3 linked regions of the Callithrix jacchus genome follow. The protein of the gene in region 2 interacts with the protein of the main gene of each other region in a pairwise test. Links are inferred from orthologs where the notes say so. Each region holds a gene or a part of one and is shown on either strand. Other genes may lie near its edges. The genes, in order: ZC2HC1C, GFAP and TUBGCP4.

Region 1 (9,986 bases), on a different chromosome or scaffold from region 2:
TCTTGGTTGGAATGACTAAAAAAATCTAGACCTAGAATTTGTGCCCTTTGGATTATAAAAGTAATAAACGTTTACTGTAGAAAATTTAAAGGACACAAAAAGGAAAAATGCAGCATTTTCGTTACCTGGAGAGAACTCCTCACTCTTTGCAATGTATTCTGCCACCTCCCAAGACTAGGATCTGTGACACTGCTTTAACTGTCTACTCTTTTAAGATCAGCTCAGTGTTGACATAGCTTCTGAGTAAATAGATGAAATACAACTAAGTTTGGAATTCTTTTTCACCCCATTTAGAGTATAAACACCTTGACGGTAAAACAGACTTTCTTTCTGGTTATCTTACAAACCATGCCCCTGCCAATTATTTCTCACTTTAGAAAAACTAGGTTGTAAAAAGTAAGGGCTTCACAACGCTTACATGATAAATTTAGGCTAACTTCGTAGGCACATTTGGACAACATATCTGGAAAAGATTGTCTCATAAATGAATGACCTGTCAAGGTTGTGCCACTTGGTTTATAGAATGGGTATTTCTCAGTGTGGCATGCGGACAAACTTTATTTTAATAGTCTTAGTGTTTAGTGTTTATTAGAAAAATTTATTAGTCATTTAGTGTTATATTAGGAAAATAGGACAATATATTAAGCCCCTGATTTCCAGGGATCACGAACTTACAGAAAAATCTTAATTAATTGTAAGGATTAAGTGAAAGAACAAATGATTGAAGTTTGGGAAGTGTAGACCATATGATCTCGATCGCCCATCTAGTTATTCCAGAAAAATAAGAAAGTGTCATTCTGCTTTCATTTCTTTCCAACCCTCGCTCTGCTGTGCTGGCACCTCTTGTCCATCAGCACTTTACAGTTTCTGTGTATTTGCTGGAGGCTTTAAAAACTCACATTTATATGATGGTTGTTAGAAAAAATTGTTTACAGTTAGAGTTCTTTCTTTCAGTACAGTTTGGGGAAATCACAAGCAAGTCCCATCTGTATTCAGAGACAACCTCCCTGAAATCTAGTTTTCAAAAAAGAAATCAACATTTTGCTCTTGCAGATAATAATATGATGGCCACTTACTGTTTTTTCCTGTTTTCTTTCTGTTCAACCCAATAATCCACTGGGGATTCACTCTGTCCCACTATAGCGATTTATTTTTGGCCAGAGCCTAAAACATCTTGTGTTTCTTAAATTTGTAAATACAGTTGCAGTGAAGTAAAATAATTAGGTTCCTGAGATCAGACGCTCCAGCTTTATGGCAGCTAGTTTGGCAGAATGTATGACACTGAGGACACCAAGACAGAAGGGAACTAGACTAAGCTGTACCCACACCACCCTGGTAATGTCTCAAGTCTTATTCCACAGTACTGTGCCTTTGGAAACTGAGTGGTTGTATCTTCCTGTCATTCCTCTAGAGTAATTAAGAACAGGTGATTTTCCTGGTATCCTTTAATTTTCACGTAACTTCCAGTGGATGTATACCTCATCTCTCTCCTGAACTAATAAGCATTTTCAAGGACAGGGAACATATCTTTGTGCTTTATGCTTAATAAGTGTTAACTGAATAGAATTTCAGTACAGTGAGGAATAAAATTATAGGAATTCGAGTATAAGAAGTAAATTACTAAAGTGTTTCATACACTTGAGGAACTTTCCCCTAATCAAATTCTTTTAAAGGTTCTGGGACACCATGTCTAACACTCTCTTGCCTTCTTGTCTGTTTCGGTAAGACTTTCCCCAAGGACACTTTCTTTTCCTTTGATAAAATCTCTCTTCCTACTATTCATCATTAACAATGCCAGATCACCAGGAGCTATTTGTCTGCTCTTTTTCTTTTTTAAAAATTTAATAGTATTTGTATGCATTTAAAAAGTCATGTTGTACTGAGTGACCTACAGTGGAGCCCCTAGTCCAGCCCCCAGAGGCAGCCTTCAGTTCTGTTAGATGGTTCTTCTGGTCTGCCCTTCCATATTTCTAAATAATATGCTTATTTTCTTGATTTATCAATTTTCCACATTACCTGTTTTTTGTTTTTTTTTTGAGACAGAGTCTCTATCATGCAGGCTGGAGTGCAGTGGTGCCATCTTGGCTTACTGCAACCTCCACCTCCCAGGTTCAAGCAATTTTTGTGCCTCAGCCTCCTGAGTAGCTGGGATTATACATGTGTGCCACCACGCCTGGCTAATTTTTGTATTTTTAGTAGAGACAGGGTTTCACCATGTTGGCCAAGCTGGTCTTGAACTCCTGACCTCAAGTGATCTGCCCACCTTGACCTCCCAGAGTGCTGGGATTACAGGCATGAGCCATGGTGCTTGGCCTACCTGGTAACTTCTTATGGAAGCTGTGAGTGAAATTCTCTTTCATATCCCCCTCTCCTACTTTTCTCCTTCTCTTACCCTTCCACTGTAGTCGAATCACAATTTTTGGTTAAAAGAAGTCAGCTTTCACATTGTAATGATCATGTAAATTTTGTTCTTTAATGAGTGAATAAATGTTGTCTCTGCCCACATGTACCTAGAGTTAATAATGGACGTTATGTTTTCATTTTCTTCATTTTCTACATACCTCTCCTTATTTTTACCCGCAATGATCCATCTGATATCAGACATCTGTTAATGTTTTTGTAATGCTCAAACACCTCTCATAATCTATCAGTTTGATTTTTTAATTCTGAAAACCTCCCTTCCACCACTCTGATCCCTTCTGCTTCAACCTGGACTGGTTATTTTCTAGGCCTGGTGCAAGCCCATTGTCTTGGGACTTCTCTTTGCTTCTCTTCTGTGTTGGCTCCCCTGTTTGCAGCATTCCGTGTCTTCCTTTTTCTTGCATTACTCCTTGCGTTGCTGAAGCTAAGAAAGGTGCACAGCAGGTATATTGTCTTGGAATGAATGGTAGTATCTATCTAATAGACTCCCATTTGATGATTTGGCTGGGTACAGAATTCTAGGAGGAAAATGATTTTCTGTTAGAACTTTTAAGATATTTCCCACTAGCTTTTAGCATCCAGTGTATTATTGAGAAATCGAATGTCATTTTGATTTCTGTTCCATTACAAGAAACCCGTGTTTTCTTTTTTCTTTTTCTGAAAGGCTTTGGGATTCTCTATTTATTTTGAAATTCTGAAACTTTACAATAATTGTGCTGGATACTTGGTAAGCCATTTCAATCTCAAGATGTGTGACCGTTAATTCTAGGAATGTTAATTGTATTATGTCTTTAATAATTTTCTCCTCATGCTTTCTCTGTTCCTTTTGGAACTCTTACTGGTCACATGTTGGACTTCCAGGATTAACTTTCTAATTTTCCAATCTTATCTTTTCACTTTCCATCCTCATCTTTTTTCCCATTCTGAGAAATTTTTGACAACATTTCTATTTGATTTTTATTTTTAGCTATCAAAGTTTAAATTTATAGTTTAATAGTTCTTTCTGGTTCTCTGGTTGTCCTTTTTTCACAGTATACGCTTCTTGTTTTACGGACACAACCTCTTCTAATACTCATTTTGTTGATACGATTTCATGTTAAAAAAAAGTTTTCTTCCTCTATCTGCCTTGTTGCTGCTTCCTGCGTTTTTTGTTTGTTGACTTTTTGGGCCCTTTTTCTTGTTAGAGCTTTAGCAAATATTTGATGATTCCTGGCTGTCCTTTCATATTTAATCTTAAGTGGGGCTTGTTGACTAAGGACCTTCATATTAAGGTTACTAAATAGCCTTTTAATTAGGGTTCTCCAAGGTATCTGAGGGCTTTTCTCTAGACTGCTCCATGTATCCAAAGAACCCCTCTTTTTCCTAAGAGGATGCCAATATGCTTGATACTCTGGGGGCTGAGCAGGAGAAGGGGGCTGACATTTCCATAATTTGGTATGTACACTTCTACTTAATCCCCATTTTCAGTCCCCAGATTAACCCCCAAGTTTCACTTGTCTGGATTTCCTGAGTCGGAAATTTGTCTGGTTCAATTTCTCCAGAGAATAAATCCTTGTTCTTCTCTAAGTGTGCTTGGGTGTTGGACACTTGGATGTGCAAGGTGGGAGGAGCTGTGGGGTCCTGCCTGTTTTCAGTCCTGTACCTCCTTACTTTGCACCATCTGGTACTTCCAAGCACTGAACTTCTCTGGAGTTCTGCTGGGAAAGCAGCTTGCCTCTCAGCAGTACGCTCTTTGCAGGCCCTTCGTTTGCCTCAACTCTGGCAAGTCAGTTACCACTATTGCTCCTTTCCTGTTCTCTTTGATCTTGCAGATTAGTACCCTTTTCATTTTCTTACTGTTATTCTAATGGAGACTCAGTAAGGAGACAAGTGCCAAGTTGAAAGATCAGTATCCCTTTTACATTACAGGCTGAACCTCCTCGGAAGAGCAACTGGAGACAGAAGCACGAATATTTTATCCGTACCCTCCGCCAGGCTCGAGAGGTCCAGCAGGTAATTGCCAAAGGTGGAAACCCTTCAGACTTGCCTCCCATCCTGCCTTCAGAAAACCCAGACTACATTCAGTGTCCTCACTATAGCCGCCACTTTGCTCCCAAGGTGGCTGAGCAACACATTCCCAAGTGTAAGACCATCAAGAACCGCCCTCCACCTCCAAGGAAGCATTACAGTTGAGCAGATGACAGTGGAAACTTTTGGATAGTTCAGAAAGCTCTGCTTTTCTTTAGGAGTAAATGGGAGTAGAATTTGATACAAAGCAGAAAGAAACGAAACAGCTCCCAGATCTGCCTGCAAAGCTAAAATCTGAGGAGAGAGCCACTGCTAAGCAGCAGGAGGCAGAAGGAAGCCCCAGCTTCCCACTAAATTACAACCTCAGCTGGTATGCTTTATGTTATCGCACTCAGAATTGATGGGTGAAGACACTGAAGAGTTGGGAACAGGCTCCATTAAAGTTCTCTTCTTGCATGCCTGACTTGTGGTTTGTGCTAGTGAAGTGCCTGCATCTGGTTGTGCCTTCTTGTCACTGCATGTATGTCCATAGTTCCTGTTAACTCTTGCTTTTATAGAAGTTGGAGATATTAGGATGTGTTGGTGTCAGAGGGGCATGATGACCGAGATGGTAACTCATTTATAAAAGACAATACAATTTTCCTGTAAGACATTATTAATGAAAATCTATCCTTGGTCTCTCTGGTGCATGATCCTGGCCAAAAACCAATACAAGTATGTGAGGTTAAGGCACCAGTGTCTCCTAACCTTCCCTGTGGTGTACTGTGTAATAAAGGAAAGATCTTTATGTACTTCACAGGGTGGGGATGGGTGTTGCGGGGGGCAGATATTATACTTCTCTCTACTTGTTCTTTTCTAATGCGTTTCATATGTTAAAAAAGAAAGAAACCTCCATTTTAGTTGTTACTAGCACTCTACTTTCAAATTGGTTGGGCTAAATGACTGTTTAGAGGCAGCAAAATCTACCATAAAAGTGAGCTGAGACAGGCTGGGCATGGTGGCTCATTCCTATAATCCTAGCACTTTTGGAGGCTGAAGTGGGAGGACTGCTTGAGGCCAGGAGTTTAAGAGCAGCCTTGACAACAAAGCAAGACCCCATCTCAAAACAAAACAAAGCTGGGACATTGCACAGTGTCACATGCCCTTGCAAATTGTAGCACAGTCAACTTCTATTTCAGAGCATAAACTTTGAAGGGAAAGGGATCAAATCTTTTTAATTTTCTCTGTGTAGCTATTGCCTAGCACAAGTTAGACCCTCAATTAATGAGATCTGGAGATTTAAAATTAAACAAAAAGAAGACTAGTGAAATGAGAGAACTGATAAGTTAATGTCTGTGAGAGTATTATCGATTCAGATAGGAGTGAAGTTAGCACAACAGATAGAAATCCTAGAATTACTGTTCTGCATTACTCACATTGTTACTTTAAAATACTGGAGAAAAACTGGTCAATTTGAGCTAGGCAACAGGGCTAGACAGACAACAAAATCCTATTTTACTAAATAACAAATGGCCACTCACTCTTGTTCCATTTCCTCTGCAGCTTCTGCTGAGTGGCTGGGCTAACAGACCAATTTGAAATGTGAATTAAGGCTTGAATGGTGAAGTTACAGGACATAGGCTGGGAAAAAAATCCTATATATTTAAATATATAGGATTTTATATATAAATACTTACTTCTTTGCACTTTTTTGTTTTTGAGAGACAGAGGCTCGCTCTGTCACTTAGGCTGGAGTGCAATGGCGTGATCTCGGCTCACTGCAACCTCCATCTCCCAGGTTCAAGTGATTCACCTACCTCAGCCCTCCTGAGTAGCTGGGATTACAGGTGTGTGCTGCCATGCCTGGCTAATTCTTTGCATTCTTGTTAATTGTTTCAAAGGAAAGGAGATATCACATCATAACGCTTTTGGTTAGCCCCCTTAAGGAAAGCTCACACAGAGATACTGGATAAACCTAATATGTACATTCTCTAGGCAAGTTCAATGAAATGTGTGCTTTAAGTGGAAATGTAAACTATTATATTGCAATAGATGGCAAGAATAAGCTGTGGCCAAGGTCACAAAATGGCAACATATGGAATGCTTTGCTCCACAGATGTTTTATTTAGCTGGCCTACCATTCAAAATATAATTTGACATTTAAAAACTGGGATATGGGATATAGCTGACATTTAAAAACTGGGATATAGCTCACACCTGTAATTCCAGCACTTTGGGAGGCTGAGGCGGGTGGATCACAAGCTGAGGAGTTCAAGACCGGCTTGCAAGATGGTGAAATCCCGTCTCTACTAAAAATACAAAAATTAGCCAGATGTGGTGGTGTGCACCTATAATCCTAGCTACTCGGGAGGCTGAGACATTGCTTGAAACTGGGAGGTGGAGGTTGCAGTGAGCCAAGGTCACGCCACTGCAGTCCAGGCTGGGCAATAGAGCATGACTCTGTCTCAAAACAAATAACAACAACAACAAAAACTTGGTATATGGAACATCTCTTGAAAAACTGGGAGTTCTTTAAACACTGGGCCAGCAACCTGCACAGCACAGATTGGGTGGGGTTTAGAATCAGATGCTCCTTCAAATGGGAATGGTAGCAGCAGACCACCACAGTCTCACCGGGCCTACTTCACTTCTCTACCTTATTTGCCTGGTCCCATAGGCACTTGGATTTGGGATCCCTGGATAATGTTAGTAAGGTCACAGATCAGGGCCCTCCAGATAGAACAAGTGTTGTTATATGTGGAGAGTGCTTTCTATAGACAATGAAGCAGTTATTCACTCTCATTTTGCTAAAGAAATAAAACAGGCCAGGTGCAGTGGCTCAAGCCTGTAATCCCAGCACTTTGGGAGGCCGAGGCGGGTGGATCACGAACGAGGTCAGGAGATCAAGACCATCCTAGTCAACATGGTGAAACCCCGTCTCTACTAAAAATACAAAAAATTAGCTGGGCACGGTGGCATGTGCCTGTAATCCCAGCTACTCAGGAGGCTGAGGCAGGAGAATTGCCTGAACCAAGGAGGCGGAGGGTGCGGTGAGCCGAGATTGCGCCATTGCACTCTAGCCTGGGTAACAAGAGCAAAACTCCGTCTCAAAAAAAAAAGAAAAAGGAAATAAAACAGTAGTCAATGCCTTAGGGTTCCCTTTAATCTCTATATGTTTAGGCCTTGGTTATATTAGAAATAGCTTTCATCTTTTAAATTTAGCTTGATCTGGTCTCTGGGAAGACGTAAGAACCTTTTTTTTTTTAAAAAAAAGTCTAAATCTTGGGCCAGCTGAGGTAGCTCATGCCTGTAATCCCAGTACTTTGGGAGGCTGAGGCGGGTGGATCACCTGAGGTCAGGAGTTTGAGACCAGCCTGACCAACATGGAGAAACCCCGTCTCTACTAAAAATACAAAAAAAAAAAAAAAAAAAAAAAGGCTGAGATAGGAGAATCGCTTGAACCTGGGAGGTGGAGGTTGCGGTGAGCTGATATCGCACCATTTCACTCCAGCCTGGGCAACAAGAGCGAAACTCCATCTCAAAAAAAAAAAAAATCTGAATCTCTTCCTGGATAGCTCAGTGGATGGCAGTAAATAAATGCATGCTTGTTAATATCTTATACTACTTTATCCAAGAACCTTTAGTGCAAGTAAACATTTTAAGTTCTAAAGTTCAAAAGGTTGATCCATGGGAAAAATTCCATAGGGAAACTCACATAGGAACTCATTTTATTAAAAATGTGTGTGGACGTGCTGAGACAGTATTTCTGGACAGCAGTGTATGTAATGCAGCACAGCACCTTCTAACCAATGTTTGCTTTCATTATCAATGTATCACTCTCCACAGCTTCACAGGAGGTAAGAGAAATGTGACATAGTGGAGTTTTTCGCCCTAATGTTCATGATTCTGTGAGGTTTAGTGATCAGCTTATTTCCACACTTAATCACTGAAACAATGATTTTTGGCTTTGCAGCAGGAAGGAATGTTGTATAGTCCTGATTACAGCCCACTCTGCCCTAACCATCACGAATACTTTTTTGGGGTTCAGGGATTTCATCTGAGTGAATTTACTTAAAATGCATTCTTGCTTCTGAATTGTTCTATTATGAATGTTTGTGAACATATGGCAAATGAAATGAAAACTGTCTACTTTTGCTTTAAACTTCAGTGAAATGCTCAGCCAAGAGAAGTTGTAACTTAGCTATGCTATGCCAGGGAGACCAAATTCAATTCAATCTCTCTGAGGGAGAAGTTTCACAAACCATAAACTGGCATTATCACTTGGAAAGGCCCCCCACTGAGACTGAGGAGGCAGGTACAAGACGGGATCATCCTTCTTTTAAATGGCTCATTTTTTCCCTCCCTTTGCACTTTTGGCACTTTTAGATCTCATTGGGAAAAAAGCTGTAGCAGCAGAAATGATTCTGCTGGCAAGAATAAGAAACTGGAGAGAAGCAAAGATTATTTCTGTGCAAATGTCCCTTGCATTGTTTCTGTTCCAAGAACATTATTTATATAAAGACTCACAGAATCAAAGATTCACAAAGGCCTAGAATCTGGATGTTTTATCCCCAGAGACTAAGGTCCATGCACAGACTTACCGAGGCACAGCACTGATTGAGAGTTTAAATGTTTATTTAAAACAGAAATGCCAAACCACTCTACCCTCAACCTTTCAAGCAACCTGGCTAACAATAAGCTAGTTCTTCCGCAACAATGTTAGAGCAGAGGAGTAACAGGTTATCGTGTAACTCAAAAGCAATACTACTAGAAAACTTAAAAACACCTAGCACTGCATAAAGGAAAAAAGCAGGACAAAATTTAAAGAGAATTAGCTACAGAAAACCATTCAAAGGCATTTCTACTGCCTCATTTTTTAGTCTATCCCCCTTTGAACTGGTTTCTGTTTGCATACTTGTTTAGTGGAAAAAAAAGTCATAAGGCTGTCCCAGGCACAATATGGGAAAGTGCAAATTGTCTCTAAGGCACAGAACTTAGATTCTCAGCTGGATTAATAGCAAATCTAGACTTCCCAAGAGAATATGCTAGAGAAAATGACCACAGCATTCCACTGCTAGGGAAAGACTCCCCTCTGAACAAGAGCAAGGCCCTCACCCACCCCCGGCGCTCACTTTCACCCCACCTTCTCGGCAACATGCCCATGTCCATCAGATCCACAGCAGAAGCAATCCTCATGATGAACACTCAAACTGACCTGGCCTCTCAGGCCTGCTGAGATGATGAGCATGAGGATACAGGGACATGATAGGCCAATCGGTCCTTAAGAAAATCAAAGTTGCATTTACATGCTGAACCAAAACCCACAGTTAGGGTTTATGGCAATCCCAAGTCCCCAGAACTTGCAACTTTAATCAAAGTTTGGCCACTTCTCTTATTTCAAGAAAAGGTTTCAGTGATTATATTAGTATTAATGTACTAGGCTTCCCAGAACTGAGAAAACAATGGGAACATCAAACCAAAGAAGATCCCATTGAACAGAGTTGCCTGTCCCCAGCCATGGGGTTCTCCCCAAGCATCAGTCTTTATGCCACCAGTTTTGGGGAAATGGCAAAATTTCC
Region 2 (10,769 bases):
GGTGCTGGGTGGGTACTGTCTGGCAGGCCTAATGCAGACGGAGCCTAGGGCAGTTAGCTGGCCTAGAGACAAGGAGGGAGGGGAGCAGCTGGGGCAGCGGGAGCTCAGGTCTGGGGAAAGGTGCCAGCAGAGGAGGAGCAACTATCCTGCTCCTGCTTGAGCCCTTCATTCATTGGGGCAGAGGCCACCAGCTGGGTCCCACCTCACATCACATCCTTGTGCTCCTGCTTGGACTCCTTAATGACCTGCAGGGGCAGGGAACATGCACAGTGTGACAATTAGAGGTGCACACAGACCCCAGGTCCACCACTGCAAGGCTGTGTAACCTTGGGCAAGTCCCCACGCTTCCCAGGTCTTTCTTTTCTTGACAATAACCACAACTGCCTCGCACAGTGCTCAGAGAGGGTGGAGAGATAACTCTGGGAAAGTGTTTAGCCTCGTGCCTGGTGCGGGGCAAGCTGCTCGAGTAAGATGAGCTTCCGCTGTAGCTGGAGTGGTGTGGGGGATACACTAAATCCCCTCTTCCCATCCCCCGGTAGTTTCCTTTTTCTAAGCTGGAAATTGAAAGCCCTCCCCATCTCCGACTGTCTCTGCTAGAGTTGGGAGTGAAAGCTGCTAACTTTAACTCTCTTTCTGTCCCTGGCAAGCCAGGCCCCTGAGTGTGAGGGTGAGAAAGAGATAGCGTTTGAGTTAGAACCCCATCTAGTAGCTTTGGTACCAAGGCTTCTCTTAGAACAGCCTATGGAGGGGCTGGGGAAATGGAATTACATCCAGGTTACTTGCTGTCCTCCAGAATTCACTGGAGAGCTCCTGGGAGTTATTGTGCCAACCCCAGGCTCTCATCCACAGCCTGGCCTTGAGAATCCTGGGGGCCAGGCAGCGCCTGATGGCCCAGATCCCTCCTTACCTCTCCATCCCGCATCTCCACAGTCTTCACCACGATGTTCCTCTTGAGGTGGCCTTCTGACACAGACTTGGTGTCCAGGCTGGTTTCTGCAGGTGTGAGGAGAAGAGGCCTCCCATGGACTCTCGGGGCATGAGTCATCCTCTCCCACCCCCGGCTTCCCCATCACGCCCCCAGATCATAATATGAGAACCTATGCAACCGGGCAGAGAGAGCCTAGGCTCTTCCAGATGGGCTGGAGAGCCCCCATATCCCAACGGTGCTGCAGCCCAAGTCCTGGCTGCTCTGTCTTCAGGTCTGGCTTCATTTCAGCCCCTTTGCAAGCCCTGGCCTGGCACCTGGCTTTCTGACAACCCAGCAAGGCATCAAGGAAGGACATGCAGGCTTTGAAATCAGGAGACCAGGTGGGGCATGGTGGCTTCCTCACACCTGTAATCCCTGCACTTTGGGAGGCCGAGGCAGGTGGATCACCTGAGGTCAGGAGTTCAATACCAGCCTGACCAATATGGTGAAACGTTGTCTCTACTAAAAATACAAAAATTAGCCAGACATGGTGACAGGCACCCAAAGTCCCAGCTACTCAGGAGGCTGAGACAGGAGAATCACTTTAACCTGGGAGGTGGAGGTTGCAGTGAGCCAAGATTGCACCACTGCATTCCATCCTAGGTGACAAAAGGATGCTCTGCCTCAAAAAAAAAAAAAAAAAAAAAAGACAGCTGGCTGTAGTGACTCACACCTATAATCCCAGCACTTTGGGAGGCCAAGGCAGGTAGATTACCTGAGGTCAGGAGTTTGAGACCAGCCTGGCCAACTTGGTGAAATCCCATCTCTACTAAAAATACAAAAAATTAGCCAGGTATGGCGGCAGTGCCTGTAATCCCAGTTACTTGGGAGGCTAAGGCAGGAGAATCGCCTGAAACCGGGAGGCGGAGGTTGCAGTGAGCTGAGATCATGCCACTGCACTTCAGCCTGGGCAACAGGAGCGAGACTCCATCGAAAGAAAGAAAGAAGGAAAGAGAGAAAGAGAGAAATGAGGAAAGAAAGAGACCAGAGCTAAAGAAGTCCCAACTTAGCTATGCAACTCTGGGCAAGTTAATTGACCTCTCCCAGCCTCAGTTTCCTCATCTGTAAAATGAGGATGATGGGGCCTATTTCTCTAGGTGGGAGAGAGGAGACAATTAATTAAAATAAAGGCTGTTAAACATGTGGCACATATTAGTGCTTAATACATGTAGGTCCCTTTCCCATCCCCTTTCCCCTTTCCTACTTCTCTCTGCCACTTATCTGTACCCTAGTGACCTGTGACTATCTAGGACTTGGCGGTATTACCTCTACTAGTCAGCCTGGTTAAGCTTTCTGATGCTGAATTAAGCCCTGGGACATGCATATCTAATGGTCCTAAATATTCTAGCCCAGAAGAGGAATTTCGTTCCTTAGCTAGGAATCATTTGAGGGCCACATACAAGTAAAAAGTAATTTCGCTTCACCCCCTAGAGAAAAATTTAACATGTCACATTCACTAATATTTAACATCAAGAGCAGGGAACATGGAACTTTATTCACTGCAAGAGCAGTGGTCCTGAGGGCAGAATCCTCTGGACTGTGTCAGCACTGAGCTGAGCGATGTAGCCTCAGGGGTGAAAGAACAAAGCAGAGAGCCTGGCCTCTAGGCTCAACGAGGCCCTCCCAGTGACGGGAAGAGGTGAGACAGAGGCTGCTCCTTACTCAGAGGCCCCGGTGTAGCTCAGCTGCGCACCCAAGGACCCACCACCTTTACCACTAACCAGCTCTGCCGCTTTAATCTACGGTTATCCTGGGCTGGGCACTGCGGTTCCTGGGAAAATGATGCAGTCCCGGCCCTTTAGGGGAAGCCTGCAAGGAGGGAGCCCAGGAAGACTGGGAGAATGGGATGGTGAGGTTCACTCCCTGTCAAGCTGGGCAAAGCGCTGTGTCTGAGAGGCAGGCAGCTAACCGCGAGCTGGCGGCGCTCCATTTACAATCTGGTGAGCCTGTATTGGTATAACTCGTATTGTGAGGCTTTTGAGATGTCTTGTGACCTTGTGATTTTCCCCGTCTTTGGTGCTTTTGCCCCCTGTAGTGACAAGCAGTTAAAAAAACAAAAACAAAAAACACTCAGAAGGGCAGTGCTTGCTCAGGGATCTGCAGACAGGGCAGACGTTGAAATCTCACCCAGTTTGGCTGTGGAATGGGGTGCAGGGAGGAGAAGAGGGACCCAGGGCCCAGCAGGACAGGGGCGGCTGCCAGCCCCGCCTGGAAGTGCCCTGGGATGGTAGGCTCTGGCAAGAGCGTCTCAGTGAGTCATGAAGGGCCCCAGGGAGAACCTGGATCCCTTTGCCCTGGTCCTCCGTCCCAGGCTGAAGTAGCCTACAGGCCCTGGAGGAGGGGGCAGGACTCCAGTGCCCTTACCATGAGGCCCTGCTCTACTGACCTCGGATCTGCAGGTTGGAGAAGGTCTGCACAGGAATGGTGATGCTGAAAGAAAGCAGAGGGAAAGGGATGCCCAGGCTGGCTGGGACAACCCTAGGCTGGGTCCTGGTCCAGGGCCATCATGACAACTTCAACACCCTTTTTCTTGCCAGGGAGGTCTGACTCTATCTCCTAGCTTTGCCCGGTAGCCAACATGCTAACTGGAGCTCCAAAAGTCTGCAAGGGGCTTGAGTGTTATCTGTGAGGGTTTCATGTTCATCTGAAGGAAGATGGAAGAGGGAGGGGAAAGTGGTGAAGAAAGTTCCAAGGAGACAGAAAAGATGGGTGAGGTGAGGAGTCCAGTCTTTGCTGGGAGGGTGGGGAGTGAGCCTCTTAGTTTGGAGGGTGACTCTTGTCCTTGGCCTTGAGGCCTAATCAATACTGGTTAAATCCATCCATCCATTCATTCATCAGACATCTAGTGACTGGCTGCTGTGTGTGAGGCAGGCGCTGTGCTGGGCTTTGAGGTGGGAAGGGGGCTGGACAAAAGTCTGAAAAAGCCTCAGGCCCTGAAGCGGGTAAGGTGGGCTCTACCGAGAGGCGGCAGGGAGACTTCCCCAGGGCTGTTATCAGGGCTCACCGGTTCTCCTCGCCCTCCAGCAGTTTCCTGTAGGTGGCGATCTCGATGTCCAGGGCCAGCTTGACGTTGAGCAGGTCCTGGTACTCCTGCAAGTGGCGGGCCATCTCGTCCTTGAGGCTCTGCCCCTCTTCCTCCAGCCGCTCCAGCGCCTCCTGGTAACTGGCCGCCTCCCGCGCGTGGCGCTCCTCCTGCTCGCGCATCTGCCTCTCCAGGGACTCGTTCTGTTGGATGGAGCCGTCCGGTCCCGCGGGGCCCCGACTTGACTCGGTGAGGCTTCGAGGCCCGGTCCCCAGCCCCAGGCTCCGCCTCTAGCCCGGGGGTGACGTTCGAGCCCCGCCCTCGCCCCAGGTCCGCGCCCCTGGCCCTTCTACCCTAGCATCTCCTGGGGTGGCCATCCCCTCTCCCCCCACCCCCGTCCTGTCCTGGCCGCGCTCACTGTGCCGCGCAGAGACTCCAGGTCGCAGGTCAAGGACTGCAACTGACGCCGGTAGTCGTTAGCCTCGTGCTTGGCCTGGCGGAGCAGCTCCGCGTTGCGGGCAGCAGCGTCTGTCAGGTCTGCAAACTAGATGGGGATAGGAGCCACAGGCTGAGGGCGGCTGGCGGACACATATAGCGGAGCTGTGTGGGCCCATGGGCAGGCACAGGCTCTGGGAAATCAGGGAGGTGACCAAGACTCCAGTCAACCCCAGGACGTTGGCCCTGGCTGGAACTTTTCCCAGCAACTGTGACCCATGGACGGGGGCACCTAGCACAACACCTGGTCAGCAAACGCATGAACAGTGCCACAGAATCCAGAACCTTCCACACTGACAGCTGCATCTGCGGGACTGAATATCTGTCATCTGCTACAGTGGACAGTGGGTTCCAGCAAGCGGAGCCCTGGGTTTCTTTTTTTTTTTTTGAGACAGAATTTCACTCTTGTTACCCAGGCTGGAGTGCAATGGCGTAGTCTCCTGAGTAGCTGGGATTACAGGCACGCGCCACCATGCCCAGCTAATTTTTTGTATTTTTAGTAGAGACGGGGTTTCACCATGTTGTTCAGGCTGGTCTCCCAAGTAGCTGGGATTACACGTGCCCGTCACCATGCCAGACTAAATTTGTATTTTTAGTAGAGATGGGGTTTCACCATGTTGGCCAGACTGGTCGTGAACTCCTGACCTCAGGTGATCTGCCTGCCATGGGCTCCCAAAGTGTTGGGATTACAGGCATGAGCCACTGTGCCCGGCCTCACCCTGGGCTCTAATAGCCCTTTCTCCCCCACCTGCAGGGAGATCCTCCCAGCTCCATTGGACCTTCGCCCTGCTCACACGCCTGTGGCCTCTGCTTCTCACTCTCCTCAGCTAGGTGCCCTGGTTGGGCCAGCATCTTGGGTCCCTGCCTTCTGTGCTTTTCTGCCTCCAGGCTCTGTCCACCACCAGGAATGGTCCTTTTCTTCTCTTCCTGGCCACAGCCTGCCTGTCCTGCCTAGCCCAAATGCCACACTGCATAGAAGCTCCGAGCTGTGGTTCGGTGCACGTCAACATCACACCTTCCAGGTCAGACACCTCTCTGTGTCCTGGGAGGTGCCTGGCATGCAATAGAGGTTCAATCACCCAAAACAGACTGGCAGAGGCATGGAATGCAGGCTCCCAAGTGAGATGGGCTAGAGTTGGAAATCCAACTGTACTACTTAGGAGCTGTGTGGCTTTGAGCAAATTAGTTAACCTCTCTGCACTTCAGTTTTCTCATCTGTCAAAGAACAGCACCTACTTCATAGTGAGGTAATCCATGAAAAGCACAGGACTTGGCAAGGAACAATATCAGCTACTAATAAAGTAACAGCAATAGTAGCGGTAATAGTAATGGGTACTTTTGGAAGCCATAGTGCCTGTGTGACCCTGGGCAAGCCATCTCACTTCTCTGGTGAAGGTCAGTCACCCAGAGAGACTATTCTCCCAGCTTCCTCCACCCTGCTTCTCCCACTGTCTCATATGGATCAAGGAGAGCTGCCTGGAGGAGGCAGGCTGGCCCACACAGGCTACCTTGGAGCGGTACCACTCCTCGGCTTCATGCATGTTGCTGGACGCCATTGCCTCGTACTGCGTGCGGATCTCTTTCAGGGCTGCAGTAAGGTCTGGCTTGGCCACGTCCAACTCCACGTGGACCTGCTGTCGGGCCAGCTGCTCCTGGAGTTCCCGAACCTCCTGGCCGGGGTGAGAGAAGGGGAACCAGGGCTCAGGGTACAGGCCACAGCTGGGGCTCCCCACAGCATCATGTCCTCTTCTGCCTGCCCCTCAGCCAGGGGTTAGAACGCTCTCTTGTCTGTTTCCCTTATTGCCTTTCTCTCTCTCATGTTCTGTCTCTATCTGCCAGTCTCTGTTTCTCTCCTCTCTCTGAGTGTCTCTCTCACTCTCAGCCTCTCTGTCTCTGCCTCTCCTTCTCTCAGTTGCAATCTCTGTGTTGAGCTTTCCTCCCTCTTCCCTGGCCTCACCTCCTCATGGATCTTCCTCAAGAACCGGATCTCCTCCTCCAGTGACTCGATCTTTCTCTCCAGATCCAGACGGGCCAAGGTGGCTTCATCTGCTTCCTGGAGTGGCAGGAGTGGTGAGGAGCAGAGGGCCACTTGGGCCTCAGGCTCTTCCTCCCCATGCCTCAGCCTTGCCTTACCCCTCCTTCTGGGGCAGTGGGGAGCAGCACATTGCTCTGGAGGGCTGAGCTTGGGGGCTGTGTTTGGGTGGGTTGCCATCAACCCCTTTCCTCCCTCCCTAGCCCCTCCCTCCACCTCCCTGACCTGTCTATAGGCAGCCAGGTTGTTCTCCGCTTCCAGCCTCAGGTTGGTTTCATCCTGGAGCCTGGAGTTGGGGGACACATTCCTGGGTCCAGGCTCTTATGAGGACACTTGGGTCTCTGCCCCAATCTCCCTGGAGGCAACTGTCATAGAGACCACCCGCACCCAGGACCAGCAGAGCAGCAGGAGGAGTAAGGGTTGGGGGGCTTTAGACAGAGGCCTCATCTGGAGGATGAGCAGATGCGCGCTTTTGCCTTAACTCATTACCAAGGTGCCTTATCAGGGTTGGTGCACCTGTTCCTGCTCACAGAGGCGCATCCACTGACATATACTCACTGCTACACACACACACACACACACACACACACACCCTCCTGCACTTGAAGGCACACAGGCGCCTTGCCAGCTCAGTGAAGCGCCATGCCCCTGGGGATTCCTCTGATCCCAGGTAACCACCTTCTGAAATGAATTTTATTATGAGCTTTGCTTCATAGTTGTGCAAGTCAGAGTGACTTGACGGGGGTCACAAGTTGGTGTCAGGCTGTCACCTGTGCTCTACACCCAGGCCTGCCTGCGCTTTCCCCCACTTCCTTTACCCCAGAATCCAATCTCCCTCCTGGATGCCAACCTTCTCCACTTCCAACTCCTTTATACAGACCCAGGCTCAGAATAGGTGAGCTCGCTGCCCACAGTCACAAGGCCCAGCCATGAGTGAAAACGCAAGGGCCCGGCTGCTGGGGGCCCGGCTGCTCCTGCACTGCTTTCCTCAGTGAGGAGGTGCTGAGGGGACCCTGGTTCCCTGGCAGAAGGTGTTTGGGAATCAGATCCCCGGGGCCCTGGCCTCTTTCTGGTCCCTCTCATCATGCTGTAGGGGCAAGGATAAGGCCCCATCAAGAGGTAGGGAGACCCAGGGAGCAGGGAGGCTCAGCCCCTGCCTGAGACTTCTCGGGGACTCCCTCTTGGGGGTTCAGCCCCCTCTGCTCACAAGGCCCCCCCCTTCCCCATCTCCTTCTCACTTCTGCCTCACAGTGCCCAGGTCCTGTGCCAGATTGTCCCTCTCGACCTCCAGCCGGGCGCTGTTGGCAGTGAGTTGATCGAGCCGCAGCCGCAGCTCTCGAAGCTCAGCCTGGTAGACGTCGGCCAGCTTGGTGGGCTCCTTGGCCCGCAGCTGGTTCAGCTCAGCAGCCAGCGCCTTGTTTTGCTGTTCCAGGAAGCGAACCTTCTCGATGTAGCTGGCAAAGCGGTCATTGAGCTCCATCATCTCTGCCCGCTCACTGGCCCGGGTCTCCTTGAAGCCAGCATTGAGTGCCCCAGCCAGGGAGAAGTCCACTCGAGTCGTGAGTGGAGGAGGCATTCGAGCCAGGGAGAGGCGGCTGCCAGGACCCAGACGACGGGAAGCCAGACCCCCCACCATCATCTCCCCCTGGGAGACGTAGGAGCGGCGAGCAGCGGAGGTGATGCGTCTCCTCTCCATCCTGCCCTGGCTCTGCTTGCTCCTGAGACATGAGGGCTTTATGAAGGAGTGGGCTGGGCTGGCAATGCTTGCTGCCCCTGGCAACGCCCCCGGCATAGCCTGAGGGGGTGGGGTTGGGCTGCAGCCCAGCTATGGGGAGAGCTCCTCTCACCCCATTGAGGTCATTGTGCCCAGAGGCAGAGCTTCCTGGACACGCCAACTCCTGCATGAGGCAGGTGGTGCCTGGAGCCAGACCATGGGTCCGGGGCCCTGACCACTGAGGCAAGAGGACCCTCTCTCTAGGAAGGTGGGTCAAGAAGGGTTGGTTGGACCACAATGAATATTACGATTATTATGCATCAATTAAAAAGGAAGGGAAGGGCAGGGTGGGGTGGGTCATACTTGCAATCCCAGCACTTTGGGAGGCTGAGGTGGGAGGATTACTTGAGCCCAGTAGGTTGAGGCTACAGTGAGCTGTCTTTGCACCACTTCAGCCTGGGCAACAGAGACCCTGTCTCAAAAAAAAAAGGAAGGGCTGTACCAGATGACCTCTGACCTGCCTTCCAGCTTTTTGATAACCCAGGCCTTCTGTCACTCAGCTGTAAGTGCCTGCAAGGTGCTGGGAATTTGGTGACGAACAAACCTGTTCCATCTCCTCAAGGGGCGTCTATATCATAGTTTCCGACTAGGCCCCATTCCCAGCAGACCCCTGGACTCCTCCCGTCGAACACAGATGTCCCACATTCCTGCTCTCTGCCCATTCATTCCCTGGAGTTCTGGGGCTGGGGGCTGGGATTGGACACCAGCCCTTTGTCTCAGGTCAGTCATGGTCTCTGTATGGCAGTGGAGGTCCTGATAGGGCAAGAAGGGGCTGGTGCTCTCTGGCCCAGTCCATGGCTGCACTTCAGCCCCTGGGTCTGTCCCTCCGGGTCACCCCTTCCTTGCCTGCCTCCCTGCGCCCCCCTCCCAGAGCCTGGGCCTTGACAGCTCCGCAAAGCAGTTATGCATCAGCTGGCTGTGCCGGCTCGAATCTTTGCTTCTTTGCTCCTGTTTCCCTGGCCACTCCTCCATCTCCCACTGGAGATTTATCTCCTCAAGTTACCACACATCAGGCTGTGGAGATGAGAAGGACCTCTGGGGATGGATGGGTTTGGGAACTCAGGAGCCACTGGGTCCAACTGGGAGCCTGAGACTTGGGCCCTGTTGTCCCTGGAGACTTCAGGTCCATCTATGCTTTCCACTCTGGTCTTACAGGGTCAGAACCCTGCCGAGGCCCCTCACCCATTTGTGTCCTTGGACTTCTGGGAAGCAGACAACCCTCCTCTCCCCCCTGCCACCCACTGTCCATGCCTGGACCTCCTCTGATCCCCTTTCCCGGGCACTTGCTGAATAGAGCCTTGTTCTCCACCGCCGGTGGCGCCACACAGCAAGGGCAGCCCCTAGGGGGCTGTGCTGCCTTTATCCCAAGATGCCAGGCTGTCAGGCTGGTGTGCAAGGCAAGCCCCCTCTCAATGGGCTTCTCGGAAAGCATCTGAGGGGGGCTGGGGTGCGGCGGGAAGCAGGCAGTGTGCCCACCCCTGACCATTGTGTCTGTGCCAAGGTGAGTCATTCAGTGGGCACGAAGAGGAGGCCCTGGGGGGCGGCCAACCCAGCGCTGCCAGGTCTCCTGCTTGCAGACAAGGCCTGGCTGTCCGCCTCTTCCCCAGTTCACAGAGCCAGCTCAGGCCCCTGAGCCTCTGTCAGAGCAATGTCCCCTACTCTGCATCAGAATATGTTCTTTTTTGTTGTCCTTTTGAGACAGGATCTCACTGTCACCAAGGCTGGAGTGCAGTGGGGAAACCACGACTCACTGTAGCTTCACCCTCCCAGGTTCAAGTGATCCTCCCGCCTCAGCCTCCCGAGTAGCTGGGACTACAGGCATGCATCACCATACCTGGCTAATTTTTAAACTTTTTTGTAGAGATAGGGTCTTGCCATGTTGCTCAGGCTGGTCTAGAACTTCTAGGCTCAAGCAATCTTCCCACATCAGCCTCCCAAATTACTGGGATTGTGCCGCTGCATCCAGCCCACGGTATGCTCTTCGTTTGCCCATGTGATGGACAGACGGCTTGCTGAGATCTCCCTCTGTGAGTCCCAGCAAGAGAGGACGGTGACAGCCCCTTAGGCTCTAGTCACATCTGACCCTGGGCCTGAGCACTGACACAGGGAGGGGAATCTTGAAGACGAGGGGGCGGGGCGCCCAATGACCTATGATCCTGCTATGAACTGGGGACCTGAGGAAGGACAAGAGGCTTTAAAGGAAGAGCAAGGCTGGGCACAGTGGCTCACGACTGTAATCCAAGCACTTTGGGAGGCCGAGGTGGGCAGATTTCTGGAGCCCAGGAGTTTGACACCAGCCTAGGTAATGTGGTGAAAACTCATCTGTGCAAAAAATATAAAGAAGTTAGCTAGGTGTGGTGGTGCACTCCTGTGGTCCCAGCTATTCAGGCGGTTGAGGTGGGAGAATCACCTGAGCCCAGGAGGTAGAGACTGCAGTGAGCCAAGATCACATCATTTTCTCTGGCCTGGGTGACAGAGT
Region 3 (10,869 bases), on a different chromosome or scaffold from region 2:
CTACTCGGGAGGCTGAGGCAGGAGAATCGCTTGAACCCAGGAGGCAGAGGTTTCAGTGAGCCAAGACTGTGTCACTGCACTCCAGCCTGGGTGACAGAGTGAGATTCTATCTCAGAAAAAATATGTGTGTGTGTGTATATTTGTAAAGCCTCAAGTTCCTAGAACGTACTCAATAAATACTGGTTGTACATAAAGATAATATTGTGCCACATTTTTCTCAGCCTGCAATGATTTTTAAATCAGGGAAAAAACAATTGAGTAAAGAAATGAAAGGAATGATCTCAGGATGGTGGATTTTCTGAGTATATTTCTTTCAGAAACCTACATTTATTCCCAATTATCTCACTGATTTTCCCATAAAAGAGAATTAAATACACACATAAAATTGAGAACCACTTCTTTGTTCCCTAAGTGGCAAAGCTGGCATGTGACATTAAGGCCTTCTGACCCCATATCCAGTCTCTTCATTCCCCAAGTCTAATTCCAAAACTCCAAGAAGAAAAGCTTCTTACCACTTGGGCTTCTAAACAGGACAGGTGCAGTTGAATTGGGATCCTGGGGGATCGCCTCTAGATCCATGTCATCACTGTCAGACTCCTCAGCCACAGCCTCTTCTGCTCCTGCCTCATGCTGCCAGCCTCCCTGCCTTGGCTCCTCAGTCTCAGTATCACTGCCCACAAGGCCAGAGTGAGAGGCTGCTTCCTCCAAGCCATTACTGGGCAGGGCAATGACATGAGCACTCATCAGGGCCTCCATTTCTTCAAAGAAGGGACAGGTCTCAGGTGGGTGGCCGCTCTTGACTTTCCGATAGCTCTTCTGAAGACCTTTGAACTTGGTCCGACACTGTTCCAGGGTCCGGAGGAAGCCATATTCCCTGAGCCGCTCAGCCACAGCCCCATACACCTGGCTATTTCTATGACAGTTTCGGAGAGCCTCATAAAACTCAGTCTGGCTGAGAATTGCAAGCAGCGTTCTGGTCTCTTCATAACCCCAGTGCACACCTGCCACCTTCTCATCCTCAAAGCCCCAGTGATCCTGTTCCACCCAGCTTCTTCTGTCTTTCTTGGATGGTAACAGATCAGCATGCACTCGTCTGTCTCCCGTGTAGCTACCACTTGGAAGTTCTTTGTCCTTGGAGCCCGGCAGATCTGGAATCCATGGCTCTCCTTGCTCCAACCTGGAGACCACACCAGATTTAGGAAATGGAAATCCTGCTTGCGGGGAAGCAAACAAAGGGTATCTTAGGACTGATTATAAAAAAATATTTGAAATTCAGTCCTGCCTTTTTCATCCAAGAGGATTATAAATAAAGTGTCTAGGGAAATGTTTTCAGAAAGTTCAATGGGTTGAAAAAGGTGGGGAAAATACAGGAAACCTCAAAAGATAAGAAATGTTCTATTTTCCAAAGCAGGGTGACCAGAGAGGAAAGGAGTCTGTGTGTTCAGAGCAGATAATTCTATTCCAAGTTGTTCCCTAGCTTTCCTATTTGTACGCAGGTCATTATTCTTCACTTGGGGCTTCAGAATTAAAGTCAGAGTGATTTCAAGGGGGAAGTGAGAAAAGACTGTCTTTATGTTTCCTTCACAGTCAGTCACCAAGTTCTAAAGGTGTTTATGTTTAGAACTACTGCCACCATCCAAGTCCAAACTCCTTATCCTCTCATACCAGATAACTGCAGCAGTCACTGTTCTTCCTATCTCCAGGCTCTTGCTTCCTCAGTGCACATTTTACCCTGCTGAGCCTTAACCTTAGTACCTACCATACCCATTCCTGTCAGACTCTTGCTCCAGAACACAGCACACTTTTATTACCCCCTCTGTGGCTTTTAATTCTCTCTTATCCAATTTCAGCCTGTCCTTCAAGAGGCTACATTTGCCAATGCCCTCAAGAAGCCTTACCTACAGCCTTCCCTTATCTCCCACTCTGCCAAACCCATACAGTACTCACACAACTGAGCGAGTCATTGGCATTGTTTCAGTACAGTTCAGTTCAGCACATACTTAGAGTTAGCTATTGTGGTTCTCAATGATGTTTTTAAGTTCTTTGAGGATATGCACATTTTTTTTTATTGCAGAGTATCCTGCAAGATGTTGAGCACCTTGATAGGTGTTCCAAAACTAATGAACTCTGCAAGTCTGTGAGATTCAGGGATTTAATCTGCATCACTAAGCAGAGAGACCATTACCAAATTGGCTGAGAAAGCTATCATCTTAGACGATAATACCACAATTCAAAACTACCTCAACAAATTTTAAGCGAAATGGTAACAGAAAAAAGTATACAATATGGAGATCAATAGAATACAAAGAAGAAAAACAAGTTCTACAAAATCAAGTACAAGAATAATCAAGTAGGTATAAAGGCACTGGGGAAAGCTATCGGAATCCTGGAAGTTACCAGGTGAACAAAAAAATCATATAATCACAGGTTGGGCTATATTGATACAAGGCGTTGCAAGATTCTGAAGTAAAATTCTTACTTAGCTTCTAACAGACTTTCACAAGAATAATATACATAAATTAGTTCTCCACTATTAACATGATATTTGGAGAACTTAAAGATTCCAATAGAGAGCAACAAAAACTTAGGTTTAAAAAATGGATCTTCTAGTGGAAAGCTTAAGGAAACAAATAGAGTTTAATTTGAAGAAGGAAAACAACCAACAGGAAGATCTGCCTTCAAGTATAGAAAAGAATTTTTATCTAGAAAATAACAACCTATCATCATTACCAAGAGGAAGTAATTCCAAGTTCTGATAAAAACTAGGGAGCTATTCTCTAGTGGACTTATCAAGAGGTAATAAAAGAATACCAGAAGGCTAAACTACATGTCAATAACCACATATTCTACAATTTCCACTTATTCCTGAAATCCCTTTCCCACTCACTATTCCCAACGCTACTTCCCAACTTGGAATGGCACTCTATCTTCCCATATGAATCTACTCCTCACCGCTCCTTTGAAAAGGTCTGAGCTTCTCCTTTGGGTTCCTCTGCTCCTGTGGTCCCAGGTCTGGGCTTCTTGCCCTCTCTTTCTTGGGTACGCCCCTGGGTTGGGGTTCCACTGACTCCTGCCGAACATTTAATAACTCTTGTGATGATTTCAGGGGTGTCATCTTCTCCAAGCGCACTTCCTGCCCCTTCACAGAGACTGTGACCTAGAAACAACCCCCGTTAATTGTCACTGCAAAGTTATAATGAGGGGCATTCCCAAAGGAGATTATTTAATACCCCAAAAGAGATCATCCTTCAGGGCCATGGCCAGGATTTTAGGGGTGGGGGGTTAAAGTGAACAAGGGTCTTATTCCATTGCCATTAGCTTAAAGCAGCTGAAACTCCAGAAGGAAATGATCAAAACAGTAAACCCAACTACAGGCTGAAAAAAAAAATCCTCTTTCTTATTAAGAAACTATAAGACTAGCAAAAACTCATTATGACAGGGTAGGTGAAGGTACACCTAGGTAGCATCTCCAGACAAGCACTATCTGAAAAAGTTACTTATACCAGACCAGAAGTATAAGCATCACCAAGGGAGATTGTGTCCTTCTTTAAGCCTGTCTATTAATTTAGCCCTCCACCCTTGCCCCTTCCCAATATCACACTTTTGAATTCCCCCTCCCTTCTCACCGAAGGTCCAGGTCTTCCAGGCTCTCTTTCTAAATCTTCCACCAGAGTCACTGCCTCCTCTCCATTTTCTGGACACCGTTCCTGTACCCAATTCTGGATCTCCCCAGGTAAGACGGTCAGGAACTGCTCTAGCACCAACAGTTCTACAATCTGTTCCTTGGTGCGCACCTCGGGCCTTAACCACCGACAGCAAAGTTCCCAGAGTTGGCTGAAAGCCTCCCGCGGCCCAGCCACCTCCTGGTAATGGAATCTCCTGAAGCGCTGTCGGAATGTCTCAGAGTTAGGGCCATTCTCTCTCAGGGAGGATTTGGCCATCATTCACAGCAGAAAGCAGCTTCCCTCCACTTAAGAGTCTGGGTTCCAAAGCTTACATCTATCTTCCCATGTCCTTGGAGAATCACCTGCAGATGACACTCTGTCTGTAAGAAGAGTTTCTTCCTAGGGCAGAGAAAGATGGTACTATCAGAAGGAATATATTCATAAGTCTAAAGTCTTGTCAGAACTGGTCTGCCTTCCCATATGCTCCAAGTGGCCTTCTTAGGTAGCACAACCTTCAGTAAAAAGACTGCAGAAGCTGCTTTTGTGGATGACGTCCAGAGCAGCCCCAGGAAGCAGCAGAGAATAAAAATACTGCCCGCTCCTCTCCCACCTCCTCCAAATCCGATCCCATTTAACTCCCCTGACCAATGTTGCATAGTGAGTCCGAACCATACAGATGAACTGGAGTTCGAGAGGATCACTATCCTGCTTGAAGGTAACAAAAAGCCTCTGTCCAGCTGGTCGCAGCTGATCTTCCCAAGTACCGCCGCAGTCCTTCCTAAGGCCTTCTGCGTCCGCCCAGCCCCCGCGGGCTGCACAACTCCCAACGCCCACCCCAGGCAAAAATCAGGTCCAGAATTTCGAGTCTTTGTTTTCCCCTCGTAGAAGCAGTAGCCTCTCAGCAAGGATTCGGGCGCAACTTGTTGGAAAACCTCAAGCAAGGAGAGAAACCAATTTTGGCTCCAAAGCGAGGACTGAGTGGGTTTGGGGAGAGTCAGACTGCGTTGGAGAGACGGAGTCCGAGGGCCAGTAGTAACCGGCTTCCTAAGGATGAGCTCAGGTGCCGGCCAGGGGCTTCAGGTGCTGCCGGTTCGAGGACGCAGAGCTCTCAGCTTAAGGAGGGACGGCTGCGGGATTCCGGCCTCTTTGTCTCCGCTCCCTCCGGCCGGGTCACCCGCAGCCGTCGTGCAGTCCCTCCAGAGGCCTCTGACCCGGCTAAGGCGCCCTAAGGGCGCCCTCCAGCCCACCCCACCCCTGAGAGGGTCTCCCTCTCGAGCTGCCCTCAACCTCCTCGCATCCTTGCCTCCTGGCCAGCCTCACCCACTCAGGGTCCCGCCCCGGCCCCAGCTCCAGTCTCTAGCTACTAAGTACAGCTCCCAAACCGGAAGTCCAAGCAGGCGGCTCGGGGCACCGAGGACGCATGCGCGAGGGCAGCGACCGCGACTCAGTCTCTGCAGAGCTCTGGCGGGAGTAGCGGGTGGGCCCCGTGGAGCCACCGAACTTCCGGGACTCGGCCGTGACCCCTTCCTGGCTTCACGTCCGCTCTGCCGCATTGTCTCAGCGGGTTGATTTGGGACAAAACACCCGACCCAGGAGCCGATGCGAGTGTGTGAAGGGGAGCACTCCCCTCGTGGTCGCCAGGAGGGGCGCTGGAGGAGGGGGCGACGTATCCAGGGACTCGAGGTCGGCTGCGGGAATGATCCACGAACTACTCTTGGCTCTGAGCGGGTACCCTGGGTCCATTTTCACCTGGAACAAGCGGAGTGGCCTGCAGGTAGTGTCCGGCGCAGAGCGCGGAAACCAGGGAGCGCTGGAGCGGCGGACCTGAGCCAGCGTTTAGGGGATGAGGCTGAGGGACCGAGAGGGCGGGGCTTACAGGGCTGGGGGCGTGTCCCTGGACAGGTGACTGGAGGGCAGTCCCTTAAGGTGAACGCTGATGTGACGCCTAGAGAGAGGCCTGGCTTACGCTGGAAAATGGAGGGCCGATCTCGAAGAGGCCCTCCTGTGGCAGGGCGAGGAAAGGGCCTGAGGTCGAGGTGTCTGAGTGACAGTTGCTGGGAAATGATATAGAAGTGTGGGAGGCACTTTCTCCTATTTTATTTTCACGCATGCATTGTTTGAATTTTGAAGGACTGCTCCAAATACACAGCTCCCAAACACATAGAAAGCGTTAAGTAAAGTTTGTAGAATGAAGAAATGAAATGGAGAGCGTGTGATGTTTCCCTCATTACTCCTTTACCAGGAAATTTCTGCACTAGGTAAAGAACTTGGAAGGGGGCCTTCGTGTAACCAGGAATGTATGATGATCCGTATATACATTATCTTATTTAATCCTCACAACCGCCTATATCCATTTTACGGATTAATCTAGGTTTAGAATGTTAAATAACTACCGGGATCACATAGCTAGTAATTAACAGAGCTTAGTTTTGAACCCAAACCTGTCTGGCTTCAGTGTTTGAACTATTCTTACCTGCTTCTGCTTCCAGTAATGTTATCTAATGCTCTCAATAATTTAGTAACTTAGGTATTGTTTCTACCGGTTAACAAATGATCAAACTGAAGCTCAGAGAACTTTATGCTGGCTAGTCCTGGTAATAGCAAGATTGAAATCTAGGTCCAACTGATCACGAAGGCATGCCTGTTCCTAGGAGAATTTGCAATATAGACTGGAAGAGCAGAAAAGGTACATTCTTAGTCTATAAAACCTGTAAATCAAACAGATTCCTTTGTTATTGTTTATGAATGTGTATTTGAAGTTAGGGAGTTTAGGTGAATTTTTTTATTATTTTTATTTTTAGAGTGAGTCACTGTATCGCCCAGGTGGGAGTGCAATGGCACCCTCTTGGCTCACTGCAACCTCCATCTCCCGGGTTCAAGCAGTTCTCCTGCCTCAGCCTCCCGAGTAGCTGGGATTTCAGGCACCTGCCATCTTTCCCGGCTAATTTTGTATTTTTGGTAGAGACAAGGTTTCTCCATGTTGGCCAAGCTGGTCTTGAACTCCTAACCTCAAGTGATCTGCCCACTTCAGCCTCCCAAAGTGCTGGGATTACAGGCTTGAGCCACCACACCCTGCCTATGTGAATTTTTGAAAAAAAATAAGTGAGGTGAAGATTTGCCTGGTAGAGTTTGAATTGTTACTTTTGACCTGTAGGTCCTTGAAGACTAAGTCGATGTTTCACTTTTCTCCATAGAACTTAGTACAATACCAGGCATGTAGGAGGCGAGTAGTATTCAGGAAGTATGTGTGTGCCTGATTGTCCAAAATGAAAAGAGATAACACAGTAAGGGAAAGACTAGCTAGGGAGGGGGTGGGGGAGACAGCCACAAGTAATTCATCTTTTCCCTTCCTTTCTTTCTTATGAAAAATTCTCAAACATGTATTTTCTAGCTTTTCATCCTTAAGGTCTCAGCTTTAAAGTCACTTTGTCAGAAAAACTTTCTCTGGCTACATCTTTAAATTAAGCATCCTCCCCTAATGCCATTATTCTCTATCAACTTGTTTATTTTCCTTATAGGATTTGTCACAATTTATAATGTATTTTTGTTACCTGTTTATAAATCTTTCTCCCTCATAGGTTGCCCATGGGAGCAAAGACCACAGTGGTCTTCTTCACTGATGTACCCGGAGGACCTAGCACATTTTCTGCCACATAGCAAGTGTTTAGGTATTAATGGAAAACAAGAAGACAAAGACAGCAAATATAACATACTTTTTGCAGAGTGGTGTCTTTTACATTTGAATAAAGGGAACAGTTGTCATGAGTGCCACGTGTTGATGAAAATTATTATAATATTGAATATATACTTAAGCTAGGTATAAACTCAAGCATAATGCTGTTAAACAACTATAAAATCAAATATTCTTATAAATTAAAATTAAACAAAACTACCAAATCAATATATTCAAATGACCATTACTCTAATTCAGGATTTCTCAGCCTGTTCATATAAGTATGTTGTATAGAATGGTATCAGTAACTTCAAGGTATTGTTTGCTGTTTCAGAATAATTAGACATTGAACTTTTCGAAAGCTCTGCCAAAAAGAAATGCTTAAATGCCAATTTTAATAATGGTATCATTGGATAACTGGTAGAGCTGCCTTGTTAATAATACAACATTGCTTATGCATATTGAGCACTGGCTCTGTGCTTGGGACATGTGCTTATTAACTTATTTAATCCTCACAATTATTTTCTTCAGTTTATAGGTTTGAAAACTGAAGCACAGAGAGGTATAGTAACTTACCTGAGCTTTCAAGCAAGTAAGAGGCAACACAGGGATTCAAACCCAGGTAGTCAGTCTCCAGACACCAGGTTCTTAAGACCAGGTGTTGTGCTACCTCTTAAGTTACTAACTTGAAAATGTGATTAGCATTGTGTCATTAAAATATACATTAATTGATTCCTAATCAATTTTCTGTGGACTCCGCAACAGAAAAATTCTTCTTTGCCTATTTGCTACCACATTTACTGTCATATAAAGATGACATCCACATATAATCTATATTATATATCCACCCATTTATAATATGCCAAGTTCATTTGGAGCATTAACTGTATCCGATTTTATTTATCTCAAAGTATTAGCAGAGTATCTGAGATATAGTAAAGGAAATGTGAAATGGTATAGCCGTTGTGGAAAATGGTATGGCAGTTCTTCAAAAAATTAAAGGCCAGGCACACGGCTCACACCTGTGATCTCAGCCCTTTGGGAGGGTGAAGCTGAAGGATCAGTTAATGCCAGGAATTTGAGGCTAGCCTGCACAACAGAGCAAGACTCCATCTCTACAAAAAAATTTTTTTTGCCGGGCGCGGTGGCTCAAGCCTATAATCCCAGCACTTTGGGAGGCATGGTGGGTGGATCACAAGGTCAAGAGATCGAGACCATCCTGGTCATGGTGAAACCCCGTCTCTACTAAAAATACAAAAAAAAAATTAGCTGGGCATAGTGGCGCGTGCCTGTAATCCCAGCTACTCATGAGGCTGAGGCAGGAGAAGTGCCTGAACCCAGGAGGCAGAGGTTGTGGTGAGCCGAGATCGTGCCATTGCACTCCAGCCTGGGTAACAAGAGCGAAACTCCGTCTCAAAAAAAAAAAAAAAAAAAAAATTTTTTTTTAATTAGCTGGCTATGGTGACACGTGCCGTAGTCCTAGCTACTCTGGAGGCTGAGGTGGGAGAATTGGTTGAACCTAAGGGTTCATGTTACAGTGAGCTATGAACCCACCACTGTACTCCAGTCTGGGTGACAGAGTGAAACCTTGTCTCTTAAAAAAAAAATTAAATATAAAATTACCATATAATCTAGCACTTCCACTTCTGAGTATATCCCAAAAGAAGTGAAAATAGGGACCCAACAGGTATTTGTACACCCATGTTCACCAAGCATTATTCACAGTAGCTAAAAGGTGGAAGCAAGTGTCCATGGAGGGACCAATAGGTAATTGAGATTCAGTATATATATACAAGGAAGTATTATTCAGCCCTAAAAAGGAAGGAAATTCTGGCACATGCTACAACATGGATGAACTGAAATAAGCTTGTCACAAAAGGACAAGCAATAATTCCACTGTTTGTGGTTTTTTTTTTTTTTTAGACAGTCAGGTTCTGTTGCCCAGGCTGGAGTGCAGTGGCACAATCTCGGCTCACTGCAACCTCCACCTCCCAGGTTCAAGGAATTCTCGTGCCTCATCCTAGCTGGGATTACAGGCACCTGCCACCATGCCCAGCTTTTTGTATTTTTAGTAGAGACGGGGTTTCATCATGTTGGCCATGCTGGTGTGTACCTGACCGCACATGATCCACCCACCTTGGCCTCCCAAAGTGCTAGGATTACAGGAGTGAGCCACCATGCCCGGCCTAAATGATTCCACTCACGTGAGGTAGCTAGAGTAGTTAAAATTGTAAGGTTAGCCAAGAGAAAAGACAGTAGGCCCAACATCATGCAAACAAGTTTTATTAATCTGCCGGGCTGCTCCCTAACAATTAGAAGAGACAGCCCCGGGCCTATAACACAAGGGGTTTATATGGGGTAAGAGGAGCATAAGGGAGTTTCAGGACTGAGCTAATCTGTCAGCTTTTAACAGGCACAAAGATGATTTGTCAGCTTGTGACAGACTTAACAGTACATCATCTTGTGACTTTTGTGGTGGCAGTTTAAAAAACAGGATTTTACAGGTATGTGTAAAATAGGAATTTAAACAGTTTTGTTTTCCATGACCTCCCCCGCGGCGCTGCCCAGGTGGCTGTAATCAGGCTTTGCTCAATTGTAGTGTATCTGGCAGCCTTGCTGTGGTGCCTAGATAGGAATGCAGCTGCAGAGCAATCAGAGTGGGGGTCAGCTGCCCCTAACAGTCCAGCCTTTTAATAGTTAATAGAAGAGGGGGCACCATTGTCATCTGGCTGCTTCTTGCTGGATAGGAGCCACGCTCACGTTTGGGCCGAGGGAGGCTAGCTAGTAGGAACTGTCGTTCCTGGAGTTGTTGGTATTCTTGGAGCAGCATCATATCTTGTATTGTTCCATGGGTGAAAGTTTTAATACAGTCCTGTAAAAACTGGGTGAGGAGTTGTAAGAGGCAGGGCCCAAATGCTAGAAGGAAGAAAAAGGTTATGGCAGGACCTAGGAGGGCCAGTAGCCAGGGTGCCCAGGAATTATGGAACCACTGGGGCCAGGTAGAATGACTGTCTTTAAGTTTTTGTGCTCAGTCTTTGAGCTTTTTGATAGCATCCCGTACTAGCCCAGATTCATTGAGGTAGAAACAGCACTGTTTATTTAAGAGGCACAGACCTCCTTCTTCAGCAGTGAGGAGGTCTAGGCCTCTGTGATTTTGTAGGATGACTGCTGCTACAGAGTCTTGTTGGTTTTGGAGGTGAGTGATAAGAGTTTGCTGTTTTTTCTAGTGATGATTGGAAGTCTCCAGAGAGTGACTGGAAATATGATAATGAGGTTCCTAGGCTTCCAGCTTCTAACTTGACAGTAGTTGTGACTCCAGGGTCTACTAATAAGGGCATGAATTATATTGCTCTTTTTGAACAGGCATGTAATGTAGCAAGAACAGGGAGTTTTTGATTTGGAGAGACAAGGTTAATGTTGGGGGTAAGGTATACGAGGGTGCAAGTATCTGTCCAGTTGGTAGGAAGACCAAAAGTAGGTTGCGGATCCACAGAGAAAGAAGATGCCTGCGGTGTTAATGAAAACAAACAA

The links.
Region 1: the proteins of GFAP (region 2) and ZC2HC1C interact in binary tests that used the Homo sapiens proteins (3 or more experiments, as listed by UniProt). The link is inferred for Callithrix jacchus from reciprocal best matches to the Homo sapiens genes GFAP and ZC2HC1C.
Region 3: the proteins of GFAP (region 2) and TUBGCP4 interact in a two-hybrid assay, tested with the Homo sapiens proteins (2 studies listed by BioGRID and IntAct). The two-hybrid records come from large-scale screens. The link is inferred for Callithrix jacchus from reciprocal best matches to the Homo sapiens genes GFAP and TUBGCP4.

The regions. Positions count from the first base shown.
Region 1 is NC_133509.1:109,987,006-109,996,991, forward strand, and holds the end of ZC2HC1C (zinc finger C2HC domain-containing protein 1C), read left to right. Parts: intron 1-2,454; exon of another isoform or gene 2,455-2,894; coding exon of another isoform or gene 2,895-2,939; intron 2,940-4,329; coding exon 4,330-4,593; 3' UTR 4,594-5,316; downstream 5,317-9,986.
Region 2 is NC_133506.1:85,317,735-85,328,503, forward strand, and holds the start of GFAP (glial fibrillary acidic protein), read right to left. Parts: upstream 9,253-10,769; 5' UTR 8,309-9,252; coding exon 7,755-8,308; intron 6,803-7,754; coding exon 6,742-6,802; intron 6,538-6,741; coding exon 6,442-6,537; intron 6,155-6,441; coding exon 5,993-6,154; intron 4,534-5,992; coding exon 4,408-4,533; intron 4,193-4,407; coding exon 3,972-4,192; intron 3,398-3,971; coding exon 3,354-3,397; intron 2,997-3,353; coding exon 2,877-2,996; coding exon of another isoform or gene 2,872-2,876; intron 994-2,871; coding exon 908-993; intron 246-907; coding exon 204-245; 3' UTR 1-203.
Region 3 is NC_133509.1:31,097,157-31,108,025, forward strand, and holds the start of TUBGCP4 (gamma-tubulin complex component 4), read left to right. Parts: upstream 1-5,111; 5' UTR 5,112-5,361; coding exon 5,362-5,439; intron 5,440-10,869. Other genes in the region: ZSCAN29 (zinc finger and SCAN domain-containing protein 29), read right to left, coding at 513-1,211, 2,953-3,157, 3,627-3,944. UniProt on the Homo sapiens protein: Component of the gamma-tubulin ring complex (gTuRC) which mediates microtubule nucleation.